Cricetulus griseus: one gene and its partners. The protein of the gene in region 2 purifies or fractionates together with the protein of the main gene of each other region. This does not show direct contact. Links are inferred from orthologs where the notes say so. Each region holds a gene or a part of one and is shown on either strand. Other genes may lie near its edges. The genes, in order: Asap1, Arhgap12 and tight junction protein ZO-2.

Region 1 (3,647 bases), on a different chromosome or scaffold from region 2:
TGACTGTCTACTGTGGGACAGACACTGTTGACTGCTGCTTAGCTTTGCTTTCACTACAGTCCTGGCTGCCTGGAACTCACAATGTAGACTGGCTGGCTTTAAGTGCAGACATCCACCTGCCTTTGCCTCCATGCCCAGCCATCACTTAGCTTTTGTATGTAGTGCCTCATTTAGTCTTCACAGTCACCTCACAAGGGACTATCGGTAGAGTAGCTTCTATCTTGCAGATGAACAGTGTGAGGCCGGTAGAGGCTGCGGTGCTCCCTAACCCAGTTTCCAGACTGGGGTTGGAGCATAAGCGGGCACTCTCTGGAGGCCATACTTTACCCAGTTTGGCCTATGTGAGTTCAACTTTCCTGTCTCGTTGCTGCTCTCAGGATAAGCTCTGTTGCTTATGGAATGGCCCAGTTAGTGTCAGCAGCCGCAAACTCCCAGTGTTCTGCCCTATACGCCCATCAGTGTGTCCTTCACTCGAACTGGCCATGGCTGCTTCATATCAACCAAAGACAATGAAAACCCCCAAGTATAACTGACCTGAGCTGCTAAGAATTCCTGTTGATTAAGGCCACGGGTTGGCCAACTGGAGCTAGTGAGCCATGTGTGGCTCATAATAAATCAAGATTTGCTAGTACACAGCTTCACTAACTCATTTGCAAGTTGCGGTCTCTGGTTGCTGTGACCGAAATGGCAGAGATCAGGGGCTGCAACTGAGCTCGCGTGGCCTGGTAAAAAGACCTTTTAACCGGCTGACCACAGAGCACTCTTGTGAGCGCTGGTGTCGGTCCCCAACAGGACTGGTCTGTGCTAGTAAATCGTTCTCTGCTCATTCAGTGAGAAAACAAAAGCCATACCAGTTCTGTACAAGGAAATCAACCAGATGGAGAGACGTCTGGTCTGCGGTCCTGACGGCAAGGTGAAGGGCTGTCTCCCCGAGCTCCTGAGAAGGAAGGGTGGACAGAGACGCCGTGATCAGTCTGCAACCTGAAGCAATTACCAGGAGCACTCCCACCACTCTCCACTCATTAGACACATTCAGCTAATATACACGCGTCGCATTAAACTGTGTCAGAGAAGTGTGATCCCTTATTTAAACGCCCTTCCTTCCTTCCTTCCTTCCTTCCTTCCTTCCTTCCTTCCTTCCTTCCTTCCTTCCTTCCTTCCTCCCTCCCTGATTTCTTTTTGCTGTCTGAGACAGGATCTCAGCTGTGCAGCCCAGGGAGTGCCTCAGACTTGCTCTAACCCCTGTCACCTGACTCCAAGAGCTGAGCTTACAGAAGTGTGCCACCACGTGCCCTTTTCTGCTTTTTGACCATGACTTGGGCTTCTTACCTGCCCAGCTTCCAGCAGTGGCTCCATTAGCTCCACCCCCTCTGCATAGACTTGGATTAGTGCAAGTAAGTCCCTGGACTTGATGGCCTCGAGCAGTTCGCTCAGCTTGGCTGAGGAGGAGGCACAGGCCTTCCTGGAGAACCGGTGGTCCACGTACTTTGCAGTGATATACTCTTTCCGTGCGGTCCTGAGAAGAACAATGGTCAGGGCATTTCTGCTTTACAAGGGCTGAAGACATTTCTTCTCCCCCTTCCCTTCATCAGCTGGGCTTCTTCCCAAACAACCAACCAGGCTTCAGACCAAGTCCAAGGGAGACAGAACAAGGAAACGGCTATTTGCTGATATGTGTAGGTATTACGTAAAATGGCAAAATTAATGGGCACAAAGATCATAGCTGATTTCTTTTCTACATGCTATGAATACATCAAATTAACAACTTACGTGGCAAGATTTGAAAAGCAGAGACAAAAGTTTGCAGAGCTTCCTGAAGAATCGGTTTTATTTTTCTGCTCTAACCCCTATCATATAGGTGAAAAATTGAACCTCAGAAAGGTTGTCATTAAACCAACCTCACGGGCAGAACTGGGAGTGTTACAAGGACAAAGAAGAGTTGACCTCCCTGTACAGATGCCCTTTAAAAGCAGGAGCTGGGGACACCAGGCCTGTGTCTAGTCACCCTCCCCATGGAGCCTGAAGCAATTCTGGGAGACTGGGCCTACCTCCTGGCCCCAAGGTTGAGAAGAGGGCCCCAAGAGCCCAGAGTCCCTCTGTCACCTACAGAGGGAGACTGAGATGGAAGTCAGCTCAGAGAAAAACAGATGAGAGCCAGGGAGAAAGAACCGGGGTCAGGTGACATCACCTGAAACCCTAGAAGCCTTCTGTCAGTCCCCCTAGTTTCCCACTAGGGAAGTTTGGGCTCAGATTCTACAGTGTACCAGTTATGTGGCATTGGGGAAAGTATTTAAACTGTGAGCTTCGGGTTTTTATTTGAAAATGGAGACATCTACTCACTGGCACATTAGAGATTCATATACTGATTTTGAATTTACATGTATGTATGCCCGAGTTTATATGCTTCATGTGTGTGCTTGCTGGTTCCTGAGAAGGTCAGAAGAGGGTCCTGGACCTCCTGGAAATGGAGTTTACGGGCAGCTATTAGTTGCCCGGCGTGGGTGCTCACACTCCACACAACTGTGATTGTGTAACCACCCGTTTGACTTCTTGGGCAGTGTCTGCCTTCTGGCGAGACTCAAGGCATCGAGGTTTCTATGCAGCATAGAGTGAGCCCACTGCAAGCACGTGCAGAATTCAGCAAAAGACCACTGCTGCCAAGAGGCCTCCCGGGAGGCCTAACTTCCTAATTTCAGACTGACTGTGTGCCCTGTGAAGATTTTAATACTCGTGTGAATTTGGTATCCATGGAAGCCTTGGCCAAATACTTAGGCTGGTGTCCTCTCTCCCTTCACAGAGCCTCCGCAACCAGTGAATAAGATTAGCCTTCCTTCCTATTTACCCATAGCCCTTAGGGGCTGAGGTGCAGACTTTTTAGCATGTGCAAGGCACTGGATTCAATCTGGAGAGCTCTCCCTCTAATTCTTTTTCAGGTACTGGGGTGGAATCTGGTGCCTTTGCCACTGAGCTCATAGTTCCTCGTTCCTAGTTCTTCTCTTCCTGTTAAACTATAAGCTCAGTTTTTTTTTTTTTTTTAAATAAATTGATTTATGGGGCTCAAAAGTACAGTGGAAGTGTATCAGAGAGTGTTTACCAACAAGTCCCATGTCTGCTCCTCGGCCAGACTGCACACTTTATCAGTCTCCCAGTTACTTTCAAGTTCCTTATGCAAACAGGAATTCCAATACATCTGTTGCTAAGGTTTGTATTTGAAACTATCCCCCTTCAGACTCATGTGTTGAAGGCTTGGTGTCTAGGCAGTGACAGTAACACGCTACTGACCAGGCCATGAGGGCACTGGCCTCACTGATGGCTGGATGCACCTGTGGGTTCATGGTAGGATGAACTGGTAGAAGGGGCTAACCTGAGGTAGTGGGTGGCTGCAGCGTGTTGTCTGTGGACGGTAGAGCCTCTCCTTGGTCACTTCTTGCTTGATCTGCTTCCTGGCTGCTATGACTATGGATGGACTCACCACCCTGGGCACAGCGATGGTGCCAGCTGACTATGGATGGACTCACCAACCTGGGCACAGCGATGGTGCCGGCTGACTATGGACTCTCCACCCAGGGAACAGGGATGGTGCTGGTTGACTATGGATGGACTCACCACCCTGGGCACAGCGATGGTGCTGGCTGACTATGGATGGA
Region 2 (3,647 bases):
GATTGTCATGTATCTCACTAGGACTATAAAAATGTAATTTAAAATTGTTTGGGAGCTAGAGAGGTGGCTCAGTGGTTAAAAACATTTGTTTGTGTTCCAGAGGAGTCGTTTGTTGTTCTGTCCTGTGTGTGTTGTGCATCATATCCCCTCCCCCCCCCCCCCCCCACGCGCCCAAAACACGGGGCGGCCCACAACAGATGTAACCCCAGCTTCAGGGAGTCTGATACCTCCTTCTAGCATCATGTAGCATACATTCACATACACAGAACACAGAAATAAATCTTTGCTTAATTATCTAAAATCTTGGAATTTTAGAGCAAAAGGAAACCTTAGTAGCTTAAGTCCATCTTTTCTTTATGGGTTAAATATTTCACTTTTGGATAGATGAAGTGGTCTTACTTAGTGCTGTACAACCTTCTAGTCAGCAGATCTTGAATAGAGCCTACAGCTGTCAGTTAATTGACTATTGCTTTTAAGGAGGGAATCTGTCAGACACACTTTGGATTCTGTGTGAAGCTACTTACATTTTCAATCTGCCTGAGATTATTAAATCATAGCATTTGTGTCCATGTTTTTATATATTTTCCTTTAACATTTCTTGGTCATTTTCTTGTGTTGTTTTGAAATACTAACTTGCTCATTTATTGCTGACAATTAGACCATGAGCGTTCTGGACAAAGGTTGTATCAGAGAGCTACACCCTCAGCTCTTGATATTTTCCCCACGTTTTGAAATACATTAGTATAGTTATTTATATAAGTCTCTTAATGTCATTTCAATTTGTAAATGGCATGACATTTTAAACATGAGCTTTAAATTTTATTTTACAGGCAACCACACCCCCTAGTCAAGGAAGACCAGACTCTCCAGTCTATGCTAACCTGCAGGAACTGAAAATATCACAGTCAGCTCTCCCTCCACTTCCTGGGAGCCCAGCAATTCAAGTTAATGGAGAATGGGAAACTCACAAAGACAGTTCAGGCCGTTGCTACTACTATAACCGTGCAACCCAGGAGCGAACCTGGAAACCACCCCGATGGGCTCGGGATACTGGCACAAACCGAGATTTCCAGAGCCCAGGAGAGCTAGAGGTATGAGTAAATCATAGCCAACCAGTAAGGCACCCAGTTTTTTCTTCATTATTGAGATATGTAAGAAAGGGCTTGTTTTCTTGGTGTCAGTATGGTAGAGCAATTTATCTCTAGATACCAAGTATTTTCTCAAGCTTCTTTCTAACCTCTAACTGTTGTGCAGATGCTGGATTTAAAGAGCACTTGCTGCTTCTTGGGCTGGGTTAGAACTGTCCTTAGCCCTCTCTTCTCTTTACTGCATCAGGAGGCACAAGCACAGCAGATGTGGGCACTTGATGCTTCCAGCACTTGGGGCATGGGGCCTGAAAATCAGTGTCAAGGCCAGTCCTGGCTTCATAGCAAGTTTGAGGCTGGCCCATCTCAATAGCTCCCTCACCACCAAAAGGATGCTTATTTCATAAATCAATAAAAAAGAAAGAATGTAGGTGGCTAGACCTAGCCAGAGAAGTAAAAACAAAGATACTTAACTTGCCAAAGCAGTCACCTTCTTTTCTTTGTTAGTTTTCTGCCGATGTCAAATTCCTTCAAGTTTTTCTGTCAGTCGGATACAAGGTGACCTTTTAATTCTGGTTAAGGGAAGTAATGATAATTCCCTTGCTGTGGTTGGGTTAGTCAAGTGAGATAATTCCCTTACAACCCTTTTCTCCTAGAGTTAGATGACTGTTCTTTCTCCTGCTTTCCTCTCCATTGCTACAGGTGCTTAGGGAGACTTGACATTTTAATGAAGTACTCTGCTTTTGTAACTTAGGAGTGTAGGTAAAAGGTGGGTAGGCTTGGTGGGATGCAGTGAAGTCCTGTCATTTTGAGCTGGGTCACCCACAGAACATCAAGTCTCACAGGAAGCAGCTAGCTCCACAGATAAGTTCAGAGCTGCAGCAAGGAGCTGGGTCACCTGTCCTGCATTTAGCAGGATTTAAGAGCTTTGTAGCTAGTCTTCCTCTTCTTGTCCTACTTTTCAGTTGGCTATTCATAGTTCTCTTTGATGGTGACTTGCACTTTTAATGTTCACGAATGAGAATAAAAATAGAAAAACCATAGCAAAAATGTTCATCTATACTGAGAAAGTTAGGAAACTTTTGTCTGGATTACAGCGCTAGAAAGATTTTTTTGAAAATAAACCATCTTATATATCAATAGTGAAATCTTTATAATTATTAAGGAAAGGTTAAATTAGAGATTAATAGAACAATTTAGATATACACAGGAAATTTCTATGTATTTCTTAGCTTTCTAATTATGTAAATGAATGTCTATCAGGTCTCAACTTACACTTTCGGCACAGCAGTGATATTTTCAGTTTCTGGAGCACATCTTTTTATCACTTCTCTAGAAAGGTGCACATGGAGGAAAAAATGAGACCGTGTGTCTGAAAATGTCCTGTTCTGCTTTTGTATTTAATTAATCAAAGGCTTGAGTATAGAATTATAGGTTGGAAATGATTTTCTCTCACAATTACAAAGTGTTTTAAACTTCACTTGAATTGGCTATCTGGGTCAATTGTTTGTCTCCTGTTAGACCTGTTGCGTCTTTCCATGTGGATAGATTGGTCTCTATAGAAGTTTGCAGCTATTCTGCCTACAACATGGGGGCTTCCAGGGCATCAGGTCAGCATTCAATCCTCAGATGCTTCCTTAGTTTATGTATTCATGTCTTGACTGTGCTTTGCTTTGCAGCTGAGGATCTTATTGATTGCCCCCCCCCCCACACACACACACACACAGGGGTGGTGTGGTGGGTGGTGGTGGTGGTGTGGTGGTGGTGGTGGTGGTGGTGGTGTGGTGGTGTGGTGGAGGTAGAGGAGGAAGAGGAGGAGGAGGAGGAGGAGGAAGAGGAGGAGGAAGAGGAGGAGGAGGAGGACAGGCATGAAGCAAGGGATTCTGGCACCTTTAGCCCTCTTGTCTTTGGTACCCTGACCTTCACATCCCCCTTTTTCCCTTTGTTCTAATGCTGTTGGTTTCTGAGCCATCCCCAAATCCTGTCAAGTAAGTTTATTGTTCTCCTCTGCCCCTACTCCCTGTCTGCTAGTTTAGACTCTGCTCTCTTCTGCATGGCTAGTTGGGCGTTTGATCTGCAGACTCTGCTCTCCCTGTTCTTGTGGGTTTTCTATTGTTTTAGACAAAATTCCCTACAGTTATTTTTGTAAAATTTGAAAGGAAGTAAGTGGTCACACCTCTCTGTCTTACCTTAGAGCAGTGGTTATCAGCCTTCCTAATAGGTCCTTTAATGCAGTTCCTCATGTTGTGGGGACCCCCAACCATAAAATTGTTTTCAACCCTAACACCATTTTTGTTGCTATTTCATAGGTGTAATTTGCTACTGTTATGAATCATAATGTAAATATCTGATAGGCAGGATAGCTAATATGTGACCCCAAAGGGTTGAGAACCACAGCTTTAGAAGCTTATCTGGTGGTTTTCTTAGAACAATGGTTCTTACCTGGTGACACTGCTTTGCAGAAAAATGTGCTTTCCAGGACCTTGGCGGTATTTGTAGACTGATTATCACAATGAGGGGAGTACTACTGCGTTAGAGGCCAGAGGTGCTGCTACTATCTAA
Region 3 (4,202 bases), about 170 Mb from region 2:
TGCTGCGTTCCGGACCCTTTCTTCCTTTGTTGATGCTTTGTTGAGGTAATAAGCTCGTGAAAATAAGGTGTGACTGACTCACAAGTGCAGTCATTACCACTGTAAGGCGGCACCACCTAATTTGGGGAACCATTTTTAAACAGGTGCTTAGATCAGGAGCGTAATACAACGCGCAGGTCGGGAAGACCAGCCCGCGTCCCACTGGAGACGAGATAAAGTGGGAAATGTTACTCACAGCACTTACTCAGAGGCGTGGACTTCCTACTCCAAAGGAGGCCAGCAGCATAACGCTTTGAGGGCAGCATCTGCAAGACTTGTTTTTCCACATATACTGCCAAACTTGTCCTGATTAGACAGGAAGTGAAGCCACTTCTCAGAGAGCCCGCCGGCATCTGGATCTCGTCATGGGGCTCTCAGACCTTTCTTACTTTTTACCTATCAAATTTATGGGCCTAGGCTGGAGTTTGCCCTCCAATTTAGGGGAGGAACAGCGGTGGGCAACGCTTTGTCCTCTAACTCCAAATCACGTGTTTAATCAGTGTATCAGCTTTTGATTTTAAATACTTGATGTGCTCTTACAATAGGACAGTTTGTTTAAAGCGCACGATTCTTGCATGGTGGGGGACTGAATAAATCCTGTCGGATCATCACCCTTGTGGAGAGTGATTTCAATCTCTTTATTGGAGTTGCTGGCGATATGCCAAGGAGGTTACCTGGCCGGCATTGCCTAAAAAGTTCCGCTTTACTATTTAATTCTATGACCTTTGTACCTTTGGAATCTGGGTCAGCAGTGGAGCTGCAAAATTTGGGGAGCAACAACTTGTCTGTGCCGGCTGACCCCGCGGGCCACTTCCGACGCAAAGCTTCGGGGTTTCCCCAGTGGTTCTCTGGAAGAGAACACAAGCGCTGCCTGTGAGAAGCCCCGCGATCCTTTCTCTAAAAAAAAGGTGTCCATCAGGACGCCGCGCGACCTCTGGGACATCGGCGGCCGCGGGCCAGCCTCGCCAACGCGCAGCACTTCCCCGGGCGCGCGCTCGGCCGGACCTGCCTGGCTCTTAAGCGCGCGGTGGAGCGAACCATCCGGACAGCGAGGCGGGGGTGCCGGTGGGACGCGCGCAATCGGGGACCTCCTACTGCCCCAGGTCCTCTGTCGCCGGCCGGGAGTCCGGGCGCATGACGCTGCCCGCCGCGGGGTCTCGGGCGCGGCGCCGGCGAGCCATCCCCCGGCGGCGAGGGTGGTAGCGGCCGTTGGAGTTTCCCCGGCCGGGCGGCCGGCGTGGGCGCAGCTAGGCGCGGGGCGGGCCGGCTGCGCCGCGGGAGGAGGGACAAAGGGGAGGCTCCCCGTGGTGGCGTACGGGCCGCCACTGCAGCTTGTGGTTCTGAGCCGCGGCGAGGAGGACGTGCGGGAAGAGCGCGCAAGATGCCGGTGCGGGGAGACCGCGGGTTTCCGCCGCGGCGGGAGCTGTCGGGCTGGCTGCGCGTAAGTTTCCTCCCGGACCTGGCGGCGAGCGGCTGCGTGGGAGCGGGTGGGCTCCGCGTGGCTCCCCTCTGTGCCCGGGTTTGGTCTCTCTGGGCTGTAGGGTCCTCCTCGGGGGACCCGGGCGCAAGAAAGGCGAGGATTGCTAGCACGGCGCTGATGGCTTGTGGCCTCTCTGAATCACTTGGCTTTGAGATGAAATCGCCAGTAGGGGAAAGTGTGGAGCCCAGTGCCCTGGTGTCGGTCCCCAAGACTTTCTGTGCCTGTGGTCGCCGACTGGACGCCTGAGTGTGCCCTCTTTCTAACTTAATGCAGAGGTTCTAGCCACGGACTGAGAGAAACCGAGGACTCTTGGGTACCCAAATCCTCACTTTCCTTTTTAGTCAGCTGCCTCTGCAGTACAACTTCTTTTGCAGTAGGGAATGGAGATGGGTTTTCTGAAGAAACCCCAGAAAGAAATGATGAATGGTTTGTATTGTGGGAGTATCTTACCTGTCATCAGTACCTTTTATTTTATGTCTCCATTTGTCAGGTTTCCGCTTTTACACGGTAGTTTATTTTAAGGTATAAATAATCAGGGATTTCGACCTCAGGCTTTTTCACATTCTTGAAATGTGAAGAACTTGGGAGGGAACCTGCCAGGACTCAGTAATGGAATACAGCCTTCCCTTCTGTTTTAGCTTTAGTTCTCAGGCTGAGTTGCTTTTCTGGCGACTGTCTGACCTGAGTAATAATGGTTGTGGCTTTCCTGAGGTTCCCAGGGAAGAGTCATCCCCTCCCAGAAACTGCCCTGCACTGTACACTCCCTGACTTCACTGCTGAATCCTAGGAGAGAGGGAGAGACCTCCTCACAGCTTACTAGGTGGTCTGTTGGCTGTGCCCACAACCCCTTACAAAAAACAGGTCTATCTATCCTCCCAGGAGAGTTGCCCTGCCAGGCTCACCTGGGAAGAAAGTAGTTTTAGCTGAGAAATTAGTAAGTAGTAATTGCATTTGAGGACAAGTGCCCCTTAATTTCCATTTTCTTGAATAATATTGCTTTGATGTGGGGAATGCACATCTCCAGTTTTGTTAGGGAAACGAGCAAGGAGTAAAGAGACCAATAGTGCTATTTAGAAGTATGGACAGGGTGCTGTTATAGCAGATGAGAGGAAGGGAGGGAGCGTTAGCCAAGGTAACTGGCTTTGAGTTTTGTCCCCTGCCCTCTCATAGCTTCTTGGAAAGATTGATAAAAGGGAGAGTTTTTTCCTTTTCACATTCTCCTACAACTGTGTGTGTGTGTGTGTGTGTGTGTGTGTGTGTGTGTGTGAGTGTGAGTGATTGTCTCTCCTGTGGGTGTGTGGTGCTGGAGACTGAATTCAGGACCTCAAGCATATTTTGGAGTGGTATCTCCAGTGGCAGCTTTTTAGTACCACCAAGCTAACATTTGATGAGCGCCTAGTTGGTGCCAGTCACTTGGAAGAGCTACAGAATTGACTGAGACTGGATTTCTGCTTGTAGGAGTTTAGTGACACCAGCATGGTAGACTGCTTTAGATGGATCTGGCTTTACAGGATTCCTGGTACCGAAGGAGGGAATGTTTAATATAGATGCACACTCTGTAACAAAGAGTGAGATTGTCCTCTCTGCCTGCATTCCTTTCGGGAATTCTTTCAGGAAGGAAAGAACACATGAACAGATACTTCCTGATGTCAGCCACTGTAGGGAATTGCTGGGAATGCATCCACCTCACAGTACACTGGCATAGATTGGGTAGCTAGGTATATAGTGGTCATTGGTCCCAAAATTTAAGTGTGGGGTTTTCAATGAAGGATTTGGGTTGATACAGGAGTTGAAGTCTAGAAGTGTAGGTAGGAGGTGCCAGATAGTTGCCAATGAAAAATCTGAGACATAGAAAGTGTTGTACAAATCTCTTTGGAGGGGAGACCTTGAATGTCAGTAACAGAACTTTGGGAGTGGGAATCACAGAAACTCCTAATGTACTAGTAGTGGTCCGATTCTCCTAAGAGGCCTGAGAGCTGTTCTCCTAGCAAACACTCCTCTCTACTCCCTATATAGTAAAAGGTACTATTTATGAAGCTTGCTTAGGAACACGACCAGATTCATCTCATTGCCCTCGGGGGAATTCATTTGCAGTGACTTATGCCTACATTTACTTAACCCTTGATCTAGTTCCTTGCACATTGACAGCAGATCATGGCTAACCAGATATCTAGGTGCGGAGTGAGCACTCTGACAAAATACATATAAGTGCTTGGGAGATGGCAAGATTTCCACCATTTTCTTTTCACAAGGTTCTCTCTCCTTAAAAGGTTGTCTTTGAAGGAGACAGATCCTTGAAGTAGGGGGTGGGGGTCACTTTAGGTCATTGTAGCTTTGTGTACAATATAAGTTGTTTAAGAAGACTTTCCGAGGGCTGAAAATAAAATAAGGGGCCCAGAGGTTAAGAGCATTGACTGCTCTTCCAGAGGTCCTGAGTTCAATTCCCAGCAACCACATGGTGGCTCACAGCCTTTTATATTGAGATCTGGTGCCCTCTTCTGGTGTGCAGATATACATGGAGAATACTGTATTCTTAATAAATAAATACAATCCTTGGGGGGAAAAAAGGCATTCCACTTTGGTTGGGCAGTGGCTTGAAGTGTGGGTGCATAGGGCAGCTATGGAATTGGGAAGGACTAATAACCACTCAACCTTTCAACATCTCCCAAGAGTATTAGCCATT

Evidence for each region.
Region 1: the proteins of Arhgap12 (region 2) and Asap1 purify together in Homo sapiens (co-immunoprecipitation; 3 studies listed by BioGRID and IntAct, with this or other methods). This does not show direct contact. The link is inferred for Cricetulus griseus from reciprocal best matches to the Homo sapiens genes ARHGAP12 and ASAP1.
Region 3: the proteins of Arhgap12 (region 2) and tight junction protein ZO-2 purify together in Homo sapiens (co-immunoprecipitation; 3 studies listed by BioGRID and IntAct, with this or other methods). This does not show direct contact. The link is inferred for Cricetulus griseus from reciprocal best matches to the Homo sapiens genes ARHGAP12 and TJP2.

The regions. Positions count from the first base shown.
Region 1 is NC_048603.1:24,006,702-24,010,348, reverse strand, and holds part of Asap1 (arf-GAP with SH3 domain, ANK repeat and PH domain-containing protein 1), read right to left. Parts: intron 1,517-3,647; coding exon 1,330-1,516; intron 938-1,329; coding exon 852-937; intron 1-851. UniProt on the Homo sapiens protein: Possesses phosphatidylinositol 4,5-bisphosphate-dependent GTPase-activating protein activity for ARF1 (ADP ribosylation factor 1) and ARF5 and a lesser activity towards ARF6.
Region 2 is NC_048596.1:208,385,867-208,389,513, forward strand, and holds part of Arhgap12 (rho GTPase-activating protein 12), read left to right. Parts: intron 1-830; coding exon 831-1,091; intron 1,092-3,647. UniProt on the Homo sapiens protein: GTPase activator for the Rho-type GTPases by converting them to an inactive GDP-bound state.
Region 3 is NC_048596.1:37,108,212-37,112,413, forward strand, and holds the start of tight junction protein ZO-2, read left to right. Parts: upstream 1-1,287; 5' UTR 1,288-1,420; coding exon 1,421-1,480; intron 1,481-4,202. UniProt on the Homo sapiens protein: Plays a role in tight junctions and adherens junctions. Acts as a positive regulator of RANKL-induced osteoclast differentiation, potentially via mediating downstream transcriptional activity.